2 linked regions of the Anolis sagrei genome follow. The protein of the gene in region 1 purifies or fractionates together with the protein of each later gene. This does not show direct contact. Links are inferred from orthologs where the notes say so. Each region holds a gene or a part of one and is shown on either strand. Other genes may lie near its edges. The genes, in order: NRBP1 and TSC22D1.

Region 1 (9,254 bases):
TACGGAGGCCCAATGGGTTTCTGTATCCGTGGTTCAGAGGAACGCAATTTCGGCTTCCCCGGGATGCTGAAAGAGCATAGTGGATGAGCCGGCAGCGATCTGTGGCTCGCCCAGTAGAGGCCTTTACTGCCTCTAACATTCCCCAGTACGAACTTTCCCTCTCCATGTTGATATCGAGCAAGATACTGTTGATATCGAGGAAGAATTTGGAGTCTAGGAGAAAAATGGCACCGGTTTGGAAGCAATCCGCTGACCCACAGATACGGGGACCCAATGGGTCTCTGTATCCGCGGTTTAGAGGAACGCAGTTTCGGCTTCCCCAGGATGTTGGAAGAGCATCCTGGGTGGGCCGGCAGCGATTTTTGGCTCACCCAGTAGAGGTTTTTACTGCCTCTAACATTCCCCAGTATGAACTTTCCCTCTCCATGTTGATATCGAGCAAGAATTTGGAGTCTAGGAGAAAAATGGCACCGGTTTGGAAGCAATCCATTGTCCTGCGGATACGGAGGCCCAATGGGTTTCTGTATCCGTGGTTCAGAGGAACGCAATTTCAGCTTCCCCGGGATGCTGAAAGAGCATCCTGGATGAGCCGGCAGCGATCTGTGGCTCGCCCAGTAGAGGCTTTTACTGCCTCTAACATTCCCCAGTATGAACTTTCCCTCTCCATGTTGATATTGAGCAAGAATTTGGAGTCTAGGAGAAAAATGGCACCGGTTTGGAAGCAATCCGTTGTCCTGCGGATACGGAGGCCCAATGGGTTTCTGTATCCGCAGTTCAGAGGAACGCAGTTTCGGCTTTCCCAGGATGCTGGAAGAGCATCCTGGGCGAGGCGGCAGCGATCTGTGGCTCACCCAGTAGAGGCTTTTACTGCCTCTAACATTTCCCAGTATGAAATTTCCCTCTCCATGTTGATATCGAACAAGAATTTGGAGTCTAGGAGAAAAATGGCACCAGTTTGGAAGCAATCCATTGACCCACAGATACAGGGACCCAATGGCTCTCCGTATCCGTGGTTCACAGGTACGCAGTTTCGGCTTCCCCGGAATTCTTGAAGAGCATCCTGGGCGAGCCGGCAGCGATCTGTGGCTCGCCCAGTAGAGGCTTTTACTGCCTCTAACATTTCCCAGTATGAAATTTCCCTCTCCATGTTGATATCGAGCAAGAATTTGGAGTCTAGGAGAAAAATGGCACCAGTTTGGAAGCAATCCATTGACCCACAGATACAGGGACCCAATGGCTCTCCGTATCCGTTGTTCACAGGTACGCAGTTTCGGCTTCCCCGGAATGCTTGAAGAGCATCCTGGGCGAGCCGGCAGCGATCTGTGGCTCGCCCAGTAGAGGCCTTTACTGCCTCTAACATTCCCCAGTACGAACTTTCCCTCTCCATGTTGATATCGAGCAAGATACTGTTGATATCGAGCAAGAATTTGGAGTCTAGGAGAAAAATGGCACCGGTTTGGAAGCAATCCGTTGACCCACAGATACGGGGACCCAATGGGTCTCTGTATCCGCAGTTCAGAGGAACGCAATTTCGGCTTCCCCGGGATGCTGGAAGAGCATCCTGGATGAGCCGGCAGCAATCTGTGGCTCGCCCAGTAGAGGCTTTTACTCCCTTTAACATTCCCCAGTATGAACTTTCCCTCTCCATGTTGATATCGAGCAAGATACTGTTGATATCAAGCAAGATACTGTTGATATCAAGCAAGAATTTGGAGTTTAGGAGAAAAATGGCACCAGTTTGGAAGCGATCTGTTGACCCACAGATACGGGGACCCAATGGGTCTCCGTATCTGCGGTTCAGAGGAAGGCAGTTTTGGCTTTCCCAGGATGCTGGAAGAGCATCCTGGGCGAGCCGGCAGCGATCTTTGGCTTGCCTAGTAGAGGTCTTTACTGCCTCTAACATTCCCCAGTATGAACTTTCCCTCTCCATGTTGATATCGAGCAAGATACTGTTGATATCGAGCAAGAATTTGGAGTCTAGGAGAAAAATGGCACCAGTTTGGAAGCAATCCGCTGACCCACAGATACGGGGACCCAATGGGTCTCCATATCCACGGTTCAGAGGAACGCAGTTTAAGATCCTCTATTGGGGGATTTGTTACAATGTTAGGGCAAGGGGAAGAAAGCAAAGCAGAAAAAGAGTCTCTAGTTGAAGCCGCTGCTGTGGCCACATTCCCAGCAATGCTGACCCACTTGGACATCCAGGAACTGTGGAACTCCCTGCTGCTGGTCAAATCAGTTTGAAGGCAGGGGGTGGACCCATTGCAGATAATGTGAACAGCCAGCATGGGCCTTCCCAGGCCTGGTTTAGGCCCCATCTTGGCCGGTTTTCCCATTCTTATTTATTTATTTATTTATTTATTTCCTGCATTTATTAACCGCCATTCTCAGCCCTAGGGCGACTCAGGGCGGTGTACAACACTTATTAAAAACAGTTTACAGTAAAGCACATCGAAAAAACAACATCTCACTACACATTACTATAATTACACTAAAAATGATCCGCTCCGTCTTCGTAGAATCGTAACCAAACTCGTAATCCATATTCCGTTCCAGTTGTCATTATCAGATGATGTATACTCAGTTAAATGCCTTCTCAAATAGCCATGTCTTTAGGCTCTTACGAAAAGACATAAGGGAGGGCGCCTGCCTGATGTCAACAGGGAGGGTGTTCCACAGCCAGGGGGCCACCACCGAGAAGGCCCTCTCTCTCGTCCCCGCCAGACGTGCCTGTGAGGCAGGCGGGATCGAGAGAAGGGCCTCCCCAGACGATCTCAAGGTCCTCGTGGGCTCATAGGCCGAGATGCGGTCAGACAGGTATTTTGGGCCGGAACCGTTTAGGGCTTTGTAGGATAACACCAGCACCTTAAATTGGGCCCGGTAGCATATCGGCAGCCAGTGGAGCTGGAGCAACAAGGGCGTTGTATGCTCCCTGCGCCCCGCTCCTGTTAGTAGCATGGCTGCCGTGCGCTGGACTAGCTGAAGCTTCCGGGCCGTCTTCAAGGGCAGCCCCACGTAGAGAGCGTTGCAGTAGTCAAGGCGGGATGTGACCAGAGCGTGTACCACCGTGGCCAAGTCAGACTTCCCAAGGTACGGGCGCAGCTGGCGCACGAGCCTAAGCTGTGCAAATGCTCCCCTGGTCACCGCTGAAACCTGGGGATCCAGGCTCAACGATGAGTCCAGGGTCACACCCAAGCTGCGAACCTGCGCCTTCAAGGGGAGTGCGACCCCATCCAGCACAGGCTGTAACCCTATACCCTGCTCGGCCTTGCGACTGACCAGGAGTACCTCTGTCTTGTCTGGATTCAATTTCAATTTGTTCGCCCTCATCCAGGTGACACCGCACCCCGAAACTCCGGATGATCTCCCCCAGCGGCTTCATGTAGATATTAAACAACATGGGGGACAGTATAGAGCCCTGTGGAACCCCACAAGTCAAAGGCTGTGGAGTTGAACAGGAGTCCCCCAATAACACCTTCTGGGTACGGCCCTCCAGAAATGACCGGAGCCACTGCAGAACAGTACCCCCGAGGCCCATCTCTGCAAGGCGTCCCAGAAGAATACCGTGGTCGACGGTATCGAAGGCCGCTGAGAGGTCGAGTAGCACCAACAGGGACACACTCCCCCTGTCTAGCTCCCGGCGCAGATCATCCACTAAGGCGACCAAGACCGTCTCGGTACCATGTCCCGGTCTGAAACCAGACCATCCTGGGGTGGCTAAACGACACAGACATGCGCCAAGGCCTTGCCCGACCCTTTTGGACTACACCTCCCGCCGTCGCCGCATTCCTGCTCAGCTGCGTCATCCCCACCCTTCCTTTTTCCCATTGGCTCGCCGCTGAGGACAGGCGGGCCGGAATCCAATCCAAAGGCGGGAAGAGCGTATCCTGAACGCTCATTGGTCGAGCATCGCTCCGTCCCGCCTCCTGTAGTCTGGCTGCGCGTGAGGAGAAAGAGGCGACGACTGTCACTTGGCCCATCTTAGTCATCCCCTTCAGTGTCCCGCCCCCTTTTTCTCATTGGCTCGGCGTTGAAGACAGGCATTGCCAGCCTCCAATCGGAGAGGGGGCAGCGCGTATCCTGAGTGTTCATTGGTCCAGTATCGCTCCGTCCCGCCTTCCATCTGCGTCAACCCTCCCCTTTTGCTCATTGGCTCGCCGTTGAAGACAGGCATTGCCGGTCTCCAATCCGAGAGTGGGCAGCGCGTATCCTGAGTGCTCACTGGTTCAGTATCGCTCCGTCCCGCCTTCCATCTATGTCAACCCTCCCCTTTTGCTCATTGGCTCGCCGTTGAAGACAGGCATTGCGAGGCTCCAATCCGAGAGCGGACAGCGGGTATCCTTAGCGCTCATTGGTCGAGCATCGCTCCGTCCCTCCTCCTGCAGTCCAAGGGCCCATAGTCGTCACTCCCCTCAGTGTCCCGCCCACCTTTTCTCATTGGCTCTCCGTTAAAGACAGGCAAGCCGGGCTCCAATCGGAGAGCGGGCAGCGCGCATCCTGAGTGCTCATTGGTCGATCATCGCTCCGTCCCGCCTCCTACAGTCTTGCTGCGCGTGAGGAGAAGGAGGTGGCGGCTGCCGCTTGATCCTCAGTGTCCCGCCCCCTTTTTCTCATTGGCTCTCCTTTAAAGACAGGCAAGCCGGGCTCCAATCGGAGAGCGGGCAGCGCGTATCCTGAGTGCTCATTGGTCGATCATCGCTCCGTCCCGCCTCCTACAGTCTTGCTGCGCGTGAGGAGGAGGTGGCGGCTGCCGCTTGGTCCTGAGTGTCCCGCCCCCTTTTTCTCATTGGCTCGCCGTTCAAGACAGGCAAGCCGTTGTCCAATCCGAGATCGGGGAGCGCGTATCCTAAGCGCTCATTGGTCAAGCATCGCTCCGTCCCTCCTCTTGCAGTCTAGCTGCGCGTGAGGAGAATAAGGTGGCGGCTGCCGCTTGGTCCTCAGTGTCCCGCCCCCTTTTTCTCATTGGCTCGCCCTTCAAGACAGGCAAGCCGTTGTCCAATCCGAGATCGGGCAGCGCCTATCCCGAGCGCTCATTGGTGGAGGAGCGCCGGGTTGTGCCGCCGCCTCTCCAGTGTGACTGTGCCTGAGGAGAAGGCGGAGGCGGCTGCCGCTTGGCGCTCCGGGCGCTGCTGCGGAACCGGCAAGAGTGAGGAAGCGAGGGAGTAGTGAAGCCCGCGTCTAGGAGAGCGAGAGGAGTCGTCGGGGCTGTTTCTACTCCAGCGCGGGAGGGGTTGCCAAGGTAGGCCTCACGACGTTGCTATGGTAACGGGGCAGCGGCGGGGCTCCTCCCCTTCCTGCGAGGGGGCGTGGCGGCGCGGAGGTATGACGTCACAGCGCGCCGCCGCCCTCTTCATCCTTCCTTCTCTCTCTTCTCACCGGGTTCTCTCTCTCTCTGTCTCTGTGTGTCTCAGTCTCTGTAATGTCTGACGGAGAGGCCAGAGGAGGAGGAGGCGGAGGAGGAGGAAGCGGGAATAGTAGCGGAGGAGGAGGAGGCCCCAACTCGGGCGGCGCGGAGCCCAAGGCCGAGGCCCCTCCGGCCTGCGCCCCTGCCTCTGCGGCCTCCTCGGCCTCCTCGCCCCCGGCGCCCGCCAAGGCCAAGTCCGGCGAGGAGGAGCCCGAGGAGGAGGAGGAGGAAGAGGAAGAGGAGGAGGAGAGCGAGGACGAGTCCGAGATCCTGGAGGAGTCGCCCTGCGGACGGTGGCAGAAGCGCCGAGAGGAGGTCAGCCCCCCACTGCCAGCCCGGATCACTCTTGACCTAAGCAAAAGGGAGGGGGGAAAGAAGGGGCAAGCTGGGTTTGGTCGCTTGGGGATACGGATCTTTATTATTATTATTATTATGGTATGGTTGCTGATGTCACGATAAATAGGTTGCCAGTTCGAAGCCCAGGGTCGGTGTGAGCCTCCAACTGTCAGCCCAGCTCACTGTTGACCTAAGCAGTGCAAAAACCCTAAAGGGAGGGAGGAAAGAAGGGGTTGGTCGCTTGGGGATACGGATCCGTATTATTATTATTATGGTATGGTTGCTGATGACACAATAAATAGGTTGCCAGTTCGAAGCCCAGGATCGGTGTGAGCCCCCCATTCTCAGCCCAGATCACTCTTGACCTAAGCAGTGCCAAAACCCTCAAGGGAGGGAGGAAAGAAGGGGTTCATCGCTTGGGGATACGGATTCGAAAGCTCAATCCTAGAATGGGAAGAGATTAGAGCAGGCATGGGCAAACTTGGGCCCTCCCTTTGAAAGGTTGCCAGTTCGAAGCCCGAGTCGGTGTGAGCCCCCGACTCTCAGCCCAGCTCACTGTTGACCTAAGCAGTGCCAAAACCCTAAAGGAAGGGAGGAAGGGGCAAGCAGGGGTTGGCCACTTGGGGATACGGATCTGTATTATTATTATTATTATTATTATTATCATAGAATGGGAAGAGATTAGAGCAGGCATGGGCAAACTTGGGTCTTCCCTCCGAAAGGTTGCCAGTTCGAAGCCCAGGTCGGCGTGAGCCCCCCACTGTCAGCCCAGCTCACTGTTGACCTAAGCAGTGCCAAAACCTTCAAGGGAGGGAGGAAAGAAGGGGCAAGCAGGGGTTGGTCGCTTGGGGATACAGATTTGAGAGCTCAGTCATAGAATGGGAAGAGAGTAGAACAGGCATGGGCAAACTTGGGCCTTCCCTCTGAAAGATTGCCAGTTTGAAGCCCGGGTCAGTGTGAGCCCCCGACTGTCAGCCCAGCTCACTGTTGACCTAAGCAGTTCAAAAACAGGTTAAAAACCGGGGGAGGTATTATACAACACTGTAAAACAGGGGTCCTCGAACTTTTTAAACGGAGGGCCAGGTCACAGTCCCTCAAACTCTTGGAGGGCCGGGTTAGTATTTGGAAAAAAAATTGAATGAATTCCTATGCACACTGCACATATCGTATTTGTAGTGCAAAAAACACTTAAAAACAAAAGAACAATTGAAATGGACAATTTTAACATAGAGGATGGAGTAACAGCACCCCCCTGTGGCTGGATATGAGCACCACCTCCAAGGCGCCGAAAAGCTGGAAGTCTTCTGTCCTTGTCTGGCCAAATGGCATGGAATGTTTCTCATGTATGTGTCCTGTGATCTGCCCTGAGTCCCCCTGGAGAGAGGATGGAATATAAATAAAGTGTTGTTGTTGTTGATTTGGACTCCAACTCCCACAATTCCCAAAAGCCTTAGGCCCCTTCCTTTACAGCTCCATATCTCAAACGGAAAAGACCAGAAGCTGTTAGGAATGGTGGGAGTTGAAGTCCAAAACACCTCAAGGGAGGGTCCAAGTTTGTCCAGGCCTGGTCTATATGGGCACTGTGTATATTATTTATTTATTTACTTTATGTCAAAGGAAGCATTGAATACATAAGTGTGAAAGTGAGAAAATAGAGGGGGCAACAGCAGCTAATTCGTTTTAGACCAAAAATGGACAACAGTGACCACATTGGGTTGTTGTAGGTTTTCTGGGCTATATGGCCATGTTCTAGAGGCATTTTCTCTTGATGTTTCGCCTGCATCTATGGCAAGCATCCTCAGAGGTAGTGACCACATTGTCAGTAGCTTTAAACCAGGCATGGGCAAACTTTAGCCCTCCCTCCATGTGTTTGGACTTCAACTCCCACAATTCCTAACAGCCTCATGCCCCATCCTTTACAGCCCCATATCTCAAAAGGAAAGGGCCTAAGGCTGTTAGGAATTGTGGGAGTTGAAGTCCAAAACACCTGGAGGGAGGGCTGAAGCTTGCCCATGCCTGTCTATATGAGCACTGTGTACTTTGTTTATTTATTTACGTTGTGTCCAAAGAAGCATTGCATACATAAACAGGCATTGTTTATTTATTTAATTTAGTCATACCCCTCCCTTCTCACCCTGGCGGAGGCTCAGGGTGGAGCACAACAAAGGCATAATTCGATGCCTGGAACATATAGCATAAATAAATAAATCATATTACTATAACACAGGGGTCCACAAACATTTTAAACAGAGGGCCAGGTCACAGTCCTTCAAACTGCTGGAGGGCCAGATTATAATTTGGAAAAAAAAACATGAATGAATTCCTATGCACACTGCACATATTTTATTTGTAGTGCAAAAAACACTTAAATGCAATACAATAATTAAAATGAAGAACAATTTTAACAAATAGAAATTTATTAGTATTTCAATGGGAAGTGTGGACCTGCTTTTGGCTGATGAGATAGAATTGTTGTTCTTGTTGTTGTTGTTGTGTGCTTTCAAGTCATTCCAGACTTAGGTTGACCCTGAGGGCTGGGTAAATGACCTTGGAGGGCCGCATCCGGACCCCGGGCCTTAGTTTGAGGACCCCTGCTATAACATATCAGTTAAAACAGTAATTTATACTTATCAGGTATAAAACTGATAAAATAGGAGTACAAGCAGCTAAATAATCTTAGACTAAAAATGTAGCTTTAAGGGCAGGCATGGGCAAACTTCAGCCCTCCAGATGGTTTGGAGTTTAACTCCCACAATTCCTAACAACCTGCTTGTATGTCAGGTTTAAGTTTGCCCTTCCTCTGTGCGTGAGGCAGAGCATGGTGGGCTGAACTGGATGGCCCACGAGGTCTCTTCCAACTCTATTTATTTATTTGCTATACTTGTATACCGCCGTTTCTCAGCCTAGCCGGCGACTCAACGCGGTTTACAACAACTTATAACAAACAACAGTATACAGTTTAAAAGCATAAAAACACGATCCACAATACATATATCAATAAACAATCCAATTCATCTCTTGACTAAAATCGCGATCCAGTTTCGTCATCCAAATTGCCAGTCCTTCAATCATTACACTTATTGCACTGAGTTAACCGAACGCCTGCTCGAACATCCAGGTTTTTAGTCCTTTCCGGAATACCATCAATGAGGGGGGTGATCCTACCTCCATGGGGAGGGCGTTCCATAGCCGCGGGGCCACCACAGAAAAGGCCCTGTCTCTCTTCCCCGCCAGCCGCACCTGTGAAGCAGGCGGGATAGAGAGCAGCCCCCCCCCCCCCCCGAAGATCTTAGGGTCCTGGTGGGCTGATAGGCAGAGATACGTTCGGATAGGTAGGTTGGGCCAGAACCGTTTAGAGCTTTAAAGGCCAACGCCAGCACTTTGAATTGAGCCCAGTAGCAGATCGGCAGCCAGTGGAGCTGGTGCAGCAGAGGAGTTGTGTGCTCCCTGCGCTCTGCTCCAGTTAGTATCATGGCTTCCGAGCGTTGGACTATGATTCTATGAGGTGCAAAAT
Region 2 (9,106 bases), on another chromosome or scaffold:
AAGATCATGAAAAGCAATGTTAAAATGGTCTGCATAGGTGAGGGAGAATGAAAGAAGTCCTTCCACCATTCACCCTCCTTCCTCCATTCAGAGAAAAAGGAGAAAGTCAGATTAATCACATTATGGCAGTCAAGGAACTGAAAGAAGTCCTTCCATCAAACTTACCCAATTAAGATGTGCATTTCCATACCTTAATCAGTGAACACTTCACAAAATGTTTCACACACTGAGAAAAATACATTAACCCTTCAGAGTGATAATTAACTATTCTTTAGGGTTCCGTTACTTTTTCGCTCGCAAGCTTTCCAACAAAATCCTACAGGCACTGAACATTGTGGCATAAAATCCCTTGTCTATTATTAGCTAAAGAAGTTCTTGTTAACACAAGTTACTGATTCTGTAATGATAAAACTATATTTGTTTGACAATGAATCAATAAGAGCAGTTTACAACATATCACTTTTTCCCCTTTGGCCTGATCTTACCTCTCATCCTCACCATCAACCAGCTGCGATGTCAATGGAAGTACCTTCAAGGGGAAAAGAGAGGATGCCATGCTGCTGCCTCCATCTGAAATGGACGAGGATGTACTTCCTCCGCCTTCACCGCTGATAAGTTGGGGTAAGCCAATCAAGGTGGGTTCTGTAGAGCGCCTGGCCTCTTCAGCACGGGACGCAACTGCATGGGCAAGAGACTGTGCAGAAAACTGGGCAGAGTTCAGTGGTATCTGTGCAGACAAATTTGGAGCTATAGGCAAATTGATGCTAGTTGACATTAACGAAGGCTGGGACACATTTTGAACCAAGTTCCCATTCTGCACACCAGAAGACTGTGCTATGTTCTTTGAAGCAGCCAAACTCATCGGAGCAGGGGACACATTGGCAGCAGGGTGGCCTGGGGCAGGGACAGCACTAACAGAAGGTATCGGGCTCACAGGGGGCAGCTGACCAGCAAGTCCTTGAGCAAGAGATTCTGATGCTTGGAGTAGGGTACTCTGTGGTGCAATCACCAATGGCTGAGCAAGGCTTGATGTGCTGCCTTGCTGCCCTGGATGAATCATCCCTGCTGCAACAGGGGGCACGGCTTGAGAAGGTGGAGGAGCAGTACTTTGTGCCATCACTGGAGGGGTAATTTGGTTTGTAACAGGAGGCGGTGGCTGCTGCACCACAGGAGGTACACTTGCTTGTGGACCAACATTCATCATCTGAGCACTAGCTCCAATGGTCTGCATTGTTGTCTGGGCATGGGCAACAGGCTGAGAGGATGCCACTGCCAAGTGTGCTTGTACTGAAGGCTGCACACTTGGGGCCTGAGCAACAGGGACAGGCGTACCTGTTCCCACCACTGGAGGACCAGTCTGCATAGAAGAAGCTGGGGTTTGCACCATCTGTTGTTGTTGTTGCTGCTGCTGCATGTAATCTGGCACAGATCCTGTAACAGAGTTTTGATTCACTGGCTGAATGTGCCCTGGGGCCATCTGCATGGGCATCTGCTGAGGTGGTGGAGGGTGCTGTGCCTGTCCTTGCCCGTACGGCAACTGGTGTGATTGCGGCACAACTGGAACAGCCTGCACAGGTTGGGATGATTGTTGGGTGTATGGCAGCTGCTGTGCCGGTGCCATAGCAGGCTGCGGATGGCCACCAACGATATTCACAGGAGGAGGAACAGCTGAGGGAGTGGGCTGGACCCCTTGCTGTAGCTGAGAATAATTCACATCCTGAGGATGAAGCTGTGCTTGTGCAAGCTGTGACTGGGAAATGCTCTGGGGCATACTGGGAGCTGGCACAGCTTGAGGGCCAGTGGCGCCAAAATCCACTTGCTGAGAAACAGCCCCTTGAAATGCCTGCTGCTGCTGCACCATCACAGTAGGTGCTCCCATCTCTCCGCTTCCCACGCTTTCCGTATAGTGACTCAACGTGCTTACGTTGCTGCTCACTGAGCTCCCACTGGTACTCTCCCTTTCAGAAGTCCCTTCGAGAGGGTTTTGTTTCAGAGTGTCTACGGCTTTGTTGACTGCAGCTACTCCTTCCGCGAGGGAGACAGGGTTCTCTTTGTCATAGAACTCTGTGCATGTCCACCTGCCTTTCTTGAAAGGCTCTGAACTAGAATCCAGTTTCACCACTCTAAACCTCGAGGTGCTGGCTGCGGGCTGCAGGTGACTAGGTGCTGCTCCGGCAACTGGATTGCTAGAGTTACCGGAGGAAGCACTCGTGCCATTGCTGACCCCACTCAGGACAGCCACGTTCACGCTGCTGCTTGCTCCAGGCAGAGGGGTTCCCCCACCTGTACTTGGGATGTTACTGAGATTCTTATGCATATGACCAGGCACGCCGCTCACCATGCTAGGCCCGCCACTGGCCACACCACCAAATGTGCTGGTAGCAGCAGAAGGAACTCCAGCAGCACGGAAATGAGAGACGGTGGTGGCTGCAGGTGTCCCAGTGGATGATGCAGCAGAAATAGGCACAGACGCCACTGTGGCAGAGGCCCCATCAGTGCTCCCAGCTGCAGAGAGCTTCCGAAAGGATGGGCTGGATGGGGCGACTGGGCCAGCTGCCCCAGAATGCGAGGAGTGGTGATGCCCATGATGGTGGTGGTGATGGTGGTGGTGGAAATGGTGTCCGTGAGGCGGGTGAACGCTCCCGTTCATCGCCATGCCCTGCTGCTGGGGTGCATGAGGCAAGGCCGGAGGGGGGTGCTGCTGCTGCTGGGGGAGGCCCGGCTGGTTGGGGGAGACGGCCCCGGGGCTTTCGGCCTCTTGGAAGTTGTTCAGCGTCTCTTCAGAGGAGCTGCGCTCAGGCTCGCCCAGGTCTGTGGCCCGGGACAGGGAGACGTCGAGGATCTCAGAGGAGGAGAGGTCCTCGGTGTGGGACTCATCCAGGTCGTCGTAGCTCTCGGTGTCCTCGGCGATGCTGTTGTTGGAGCTGAGGCTGGCGGAGATCTGGGCCGGGGTCACGCTGGTGATCTGGAAGCCGCTCTTCTTCTTCATCTGGGCCCCGGCCTGCCCCGCCGGAGGGAGAGGCATCGGCACCGGAGGGGCCCCGGGCTGGGAGGGCAGCGACAGGCTCTGCGGTGGCGGAGGGGGCGGGGGCCCCTGCGGCCCAGCAGGGGAGGCAGAGGAGGATGCGGCGGCGGCAGGCGGTGGCTGGAGGAGCAGCGGGGGCGGGAGGTCTTCTAGGGCCGGCCCCACCACGGCGACGCCGCTGCTGCTACTGCTGCCGCTCCCCCTCCGAGGGAGCATCGCCGGGTGCGCCATCTTCCTCCCCCCACTAGGACTGTCTGCCGCTGAGTCAGGCTGGTGGTGGTGCATTGGACGACAAGGGCTATTTTAAGGAGCTCGCTTCCCCAGAATGGCGGGCGGAGGGAGGGAGGGAGGCGCGCGACACGCCACGCACTACTCCCTCTCCCTCGCGCTCTCTCTCTCTCAGGCGCGCGCGCCCAGGCCCCTGCCGCCTCTCAGGCCCCGGCCATGCACTCCCCTCCCCTCCTCCTCTCCCCGCCTAAGGTTCCCGGTTCAGAGCAGCTGGCTCGCCAAGGGGGGGAGGGAAGGAGAGAAGGAGGGAAAGGGGCGAGGAGCCGCCCCGAAGCAGGGAAAGCCCCCGAGCGGAGCCTCCCGGGAAGGGGAGAGGGGGGAGGAGGAGGGGCCCTGGGCGGAAGGTACCTACGGCAGTCCCGCTGGCGCCTCCCCATCAAGAGCAACTCCTCAGCAGCAGCAAGAGGAGCGCGCGGCGCGGGGCATGACTCCCACCGAGGGCGGGGAGGCACGAGGGGAAGAGAGCCTGGCGCAGCCCCACAGCCGCTCCTGCCTCCTCCCTCTCTCTCTCTCTCTCTCTGCGCCGCCGCCTCCTCCTCTTCCTCTCAGCGAGCCTTCTCTCTCTCTCTCTCTCCCTCCTCTCAGCCCCTTCCTCCCTTCGCTCGCGGTTTCCCTGCTCCAGAGTCAGTCAGAAACGGGGGGAGGGAGGCGGAGGCGGCAAAAAAAAATGGCGCTGGCGGCGCAGGCGCAGCGCGGACGCAGACATAAAGGACTCGTCTGGCGCGAGGCAGGCGGCGGGCGAAGAGCTTCGGCTCCAGCGGCGGAAATGCCCGAGGCGGGTGAGGGTGAGGGAGGGGGCGGGGCCTGGCTCGGGTGCTCGTTCGCCAGCGAGGGGCGGGGGAAGAGGGAGCCTGAGGGCGTTGCCCTTTCCTGAAATGGCGGCGGGGCCACACTCCTCGCCGCTTCTGCCAGGGTCACGCGCCTCCAACGAAGCACCGGGCTGAAGCGTTATGTGTGTCCCCCCCTTCCCCTCCGTATCGCGGAAGGGGCGGGCTTTCTTCCTGCTTTGCCGGACACCGGTTGCCATGTGCGCGACGGAACCGGGAGCTGATTGGAGGAGCGCCTGTCAGTCACAGCGGGGGAGGGGGCCGTGAACAACTCCCATATAAGAGGGCCAGAAGGGGCGGGGCTTAGCGGGTCCTGAACGTCACTCACAGACAGCCGTGAGGCGGCGACGGGGGGAGGGGGAGGGGGAGGGAGGGAGCCCCCCTTCTTCCCCCTGAGGACGGGAAGTGCTGCCGCTTTAGCCTCGCCGGGGAGTGCGTAAGGGCGCCTTTCCCCATCCTGGCCCCTCAGAGATGGCACTGAGGACAGAGCAAGGCTTGTTTGGCGACCAGGGAGACAGCCAGGCCTGCGCGCCTCTTCACTTTCGCCGCCTCCTCCTCCTCTTCGGCCCGCAGGCTGGCGCGTGCGATACATGGCAGGCAGGCAGGCAGGCCATCTTGCTTCTCCCTTCCCTCCTGCTAGTGGCTGGTTCTGAAAATACACCGAAAACTTTCAGAATATTCCAGACACCTTCTCGGCCTTGCTTTGCACAAAAGAGTCTAATGGCCCCTTAAACACACATAGATTAATCCCCAGCTCCTTCAAGGTCAATCCAGTCACTTCAAAGATACCGTCCATCCATCTTGCCCTTGTTCGGCCCCTCTTCCTTTTTCCTTCCATTTTCCCCAGCATCATTGTCTTCTTTAAGCTTTCCTTTCTTCTCATGATGTGGCCAAAGGACTTCATCTTCGCCTCTAATATCCTTCCCTCCAGTTGTAATCAGAGGTGATGCCCTCCCCCCCAAGACTCTGTAAAAGATAGTTCAAAACCAGGGAATTCATAGTTTTGCCAAGGACACAAGGCTGGAATGATCCCATAATCCCCTATCGCTCCTCCTGTTTTTATGAATGGACTTTGGCTACTCAGTGCTTTTCTGAATTTTTATGAACTCTCATGAACTTTTTAGGAACTTTTATGGACTTTTTGCCAACTTTCATGAACTTTAATAGACTTCGGGATGACTGAAATTAATTCCCCTTGGACCCTGCATGCCTTCCCCTTCCCCTATGAATTCTGGGTATGCCCCATTCATTGTATGTATGGCTATGTAAGAAATTATGAAGCAAAGTGACCTTTACATGAACTATGCCAGCAACTCATTGCTCTAGGAATCCAAGGGGAATTCATTACAGTCTATTAAAGTTCATGAAAGTTGGCAAAAAGTCCATAAAAGTTCCTAAAAAGTTCATGAGAGTTCATAAAAATTCAGAAAAGCACTGAGTAGCCATTGCTCTAGGTTTTGGTCAAGTCCTTTCTTTGGGGATTATTGGCTCAGGAAGTTTGGAGATTCCTATTATTATTATTATTATTATTATAACTTTATTTGTACCCCGCTAGCATCCCCCGCAGGACTCGATGCGGCTTACATAGGCCTAGGCCTCAAAACACAATACAACAGTACAATACCTAGTGCAAATTAAAACAGTTAAGCAGAAATAAACAACAGCAATAACAATACATCAAAACATCAAGACAATATAAAACTGGGCCAGGCCAGAAAATGGGTACAAGATTAAAAGTGCTGATGTGGCAGGAGGTATGTAGGATTATAAAGTGTGTGCGGTGTGCAGTAATCTTAGTTCTATAAAGTCCTAGAAGCACTTTGCTTTAGAATTTGCTTTAGGTTGTGTATTGTTATGTTGTGTTTTGAGGCCTAGGCCTATGTAAGCCGCATCGAGTCCTGCGGGAGATGCTAGCGGGGTACAAATAAAGTTATAATAATAATAGGAATCTCCAAACTTCCTGAGCCAATAATCCCCAAAGAAAGGACTTGACCAAAACCCATTTGCATGGACAATACAATACGTAAATGGTTCCCTTTTCTGGAACTCAGAGGGCCCGATGGCCAGGCCATCCAGAACAATGGAGTCTATGGATATACTGAATCACTCAACACAAAGGACATCTCCCCATCTGCAAAGAACCAGGGATTGTCGCTGCCTCCCCTGCTGTGTCAAATCCCAATCTCTGAAACCAATCTCAACTTCATCAGTGAAACCAATATTGCAGGACAATAAGACAGTGGACCTGGCCTCTCGGGTCCAGACAGAAATGTTAATTCAAAGATCGGGACAATAACCCTGGCCAGGCTGGACAGCCTAAAGCTATCGCTTGGCAAACACCAGTCATTTGTTATCCAGTCACCTAGTCATTTCTTCATTTTTCCCTGTTGCCCACCTCCCTTCCACCTCATTGGCTGAGCGGCCAAAGCAGGACCAAGGCCCTCATTGGATCTCCTCCTGGCTCGCTGACGTCACAGCCAATCACAACGAAGCTGGCTTGGGATGGGTGCGGTGAAAATTGAATGGAAAACTATATATTCTGTATTTACCTGCCTAGCAAACATGTCAGCTTGTTTGGCAGATTACTGCAGTCATCATCATTTCCAGCTGGAATAGAAAATAAACTTCGGTGGCTTCTCTTCAATTTAGTGAGATTTATTCTAGAATACTGGCTTCTCTTTCTCACCAGGCTAAACCCGCAATGGCTTGGATCTCACTATCCACAACCATTCTAAATTGCTCGACAACACAGTGAGCAGTCGGGCTTTATTTCTGGGTGTATGGAATGGTTTGATCTTCTACAAAGTCACAATTCTGCACTAGTTCAAGAAAGAGAGGTTACTCTAGTTTTAAGTCACCCATTGGTTCAGGTTGGGAATGTATGGGAAGGGACACCTAGAAGAAGCACCCACATTTGCCTTGTATGACTTTCTTTTTGAATACTACCTCATAGTGTGGTGGAAGCTTCTTCCTTGGAGGCTTTTAAACAGGCTGGGTGGTCATCTCTCAGGAGTGCTTTGATTGTGATTTTCCTGCATGGCAGAAGGTTGAACTATATGGCTGATGTGGTCTCTTTCAACGCTATGATTCTATTTATATTTTCAGAAGCAGTACGATTATAATGTATTTAAAAGACACAAAGTTAAAAACTTCGCATTATGATAGATTTCCTTTAACCAATAGCTGGCCACTTGGTGTTTCTATAAGAAGGTCCTCAATTGTGCATGTGGCAGGACTCAGATTGCATGGTAGTAGGTGGTCTGCTCTTCTCCACACTTGCATATCATGGACTCCACTTTGTAGCCCTATTTCTTAGGCTTGGCTCTGTATCTCATGGTGCCAAGGCGCAGTCTGTCCAGAACCTTCCAAGTCACCCAGTCTTCTGTCTGCCCAGGAGGAAATTTCTCATCCTGTATCACCCACTGGTTGAAGTTCTGAGTTTTATGTCGATCTCAGAAAGCTATTCCTTGATTTAAGGCGTTGGCTTGCTGGCTGATATCTGAACAGGGGATGGTCCAGAGATGTCCATGCTTGGTCCTTTCATTGCTGGCTGCTACTTCCCAGCAGATGTCAAGTGGTGCAATACTGGCTAAACAATATAACTTCTCCAGTGATGTAGGGCGTAGACATCCTGTGATAATGTGGCATGTCTCATTAAGAGCCATATCCACTGTTTTAACGTGATGAGATGTGTTCCACACTGGGCATGCATACTCAGCAGCAGAGTAGGAAAGTGCAACGGCAGATGTCTTCACTGTATCTGGTTGTGATCCCCAGGTTGTGCCAGTCAGCTTTCATATTATATTATTTCTAGCACCCACTTTTTGCTTGATATTCAAGCAGTGCTTCTCATAAGTCAGAGTATGGTCCAGAGCAACTCCCAGGTATTTGGGTGTGCTGCAGTGCTCTAATGGGATTCCTTCCCAGGTTATCCTCAGATCTCGAGGTGCTTGTCTGTTCTTAAGATGAAAGCACACATCTGCATTTTAGATGGATTAGGAATCAGCTGTTTTTTCCCGTAATAGGCAGTAAGAGCACATAGAGCTTTGGAGAGCTTCCGTTCAACCATTTCAAAGCTCCCTGCTTGAGCGGTGGTGGCACGATTGTCAGCATAGATTAAACTCTGTGTCCCTTGTAGCAATGGCTGGTCATTTGTGTAAATGCTGAGCATTGATGGAACAAGCACACTCCCCTGAGGCAGGCCGTTCTTCTGTTTTCACCATCTGCTTCTATGATTCTACAACATCCCCAAATCACAACATGGATTCACCCATTATTGTGGCCACAGTGCTAGCACTTTATTGCATCAGTGTCAACCCAGGTCTGAAGCAGTTTTAGGATCCTATTCACCAGTTTGCCATGAATTACAACATATGGCCAAACATTGGAGGTAAACCTGAAATGCCATGTTTCTTTCTGAGGCAGCCAGAATTAGACAATTCCTTATTTTAGACACAGGCTGAAACATACCAGCACTTTTTATAGTCTTTTACCTGTGTTTTTAGCCAACATGTATTTTAAGCAGTTTTTATTGTTTGCATCCAACTGGATGTTCTTAATCCCATTAACTGTATAACTTGTATGCTACCGTATAATAAGGGTCTTTGGACCATAATAAAAATGTATGTATGGTATTACATGATCAGTAGCACAATCAAAGCATAGTAGTATGCTTTGATTGTGCTTTGCTTGCATGGCCCATGCACTAGATGGCCCACGTGGTCTCTTCCAACTCTATTATTCAATGTCAACCCAAAAGACACCTTTTATTTCATTAGTCAACCCATTTGCCAAATTATCATTTATTTTACAAAACAAGAGTTTAGCTCAGGCCTGCACAAGATGCTCTCTCCAACCCCAAGAGGCTTAGCCTATCTAATGTTGGCCTTTTCCTACTTACAAGTTGTCCCCCTTGAAATAAAGAGGATGCCCTTCCCCAGCCCTTGGGAAAAATGCATAATACAAA

What was found.
Region 2: the proteins of NRBP1 (region 1) and TSC22D1 purify together in Homo sapiens (affinity purification with mass spectrometry; 6 studies listed by BioGRID and IntAct, with this or other methods). This does not show direct contact. The link is inferred for Anolis sagrei from reciprocal best matches to the Homo sapiens genes NRBP1 and TSC22D1.

The regions. Positions count from the first base shown.
Region 1 is NC_090021.1:1,052,148-1,061,401, forward strand, and holds the start of NRBP1 (nuclear receptor-binding protein), read left to right. Parts: upstream 1-4,909; 5' UTR 4,910-5,239; intron 5,240-5,333; exon of another isoform or gene 5,334-5,411; 5' UTR 5,412-5,419; coding exon 5,420-5,719; intron 5,720-9,254. UniProt on the Homo sapiens protein: Required for embryonic development. Plays a role in intestinal epithelial cell fate and proliferation, thereby involved in the architectural development of the intestine potentially via the regulation of Wnt-responsive genes.
Region 2 is NC_090023.1:144,370,617-144,379,722, reverse strand, and holds the start of TSC22D1 (TSC22 domain family protein 1), read right to left. Parts: upstream 4,229-9,106; 5' UTR 3,311-4,228; coding exon 486-3,310; intron 1-485. UniProt on the Homo sapiens protein: Transcriptional repressor. Acts on the C-type natriuretic peptide (CNP) promoter. Acts to promote CASP3-mediated apoptosis.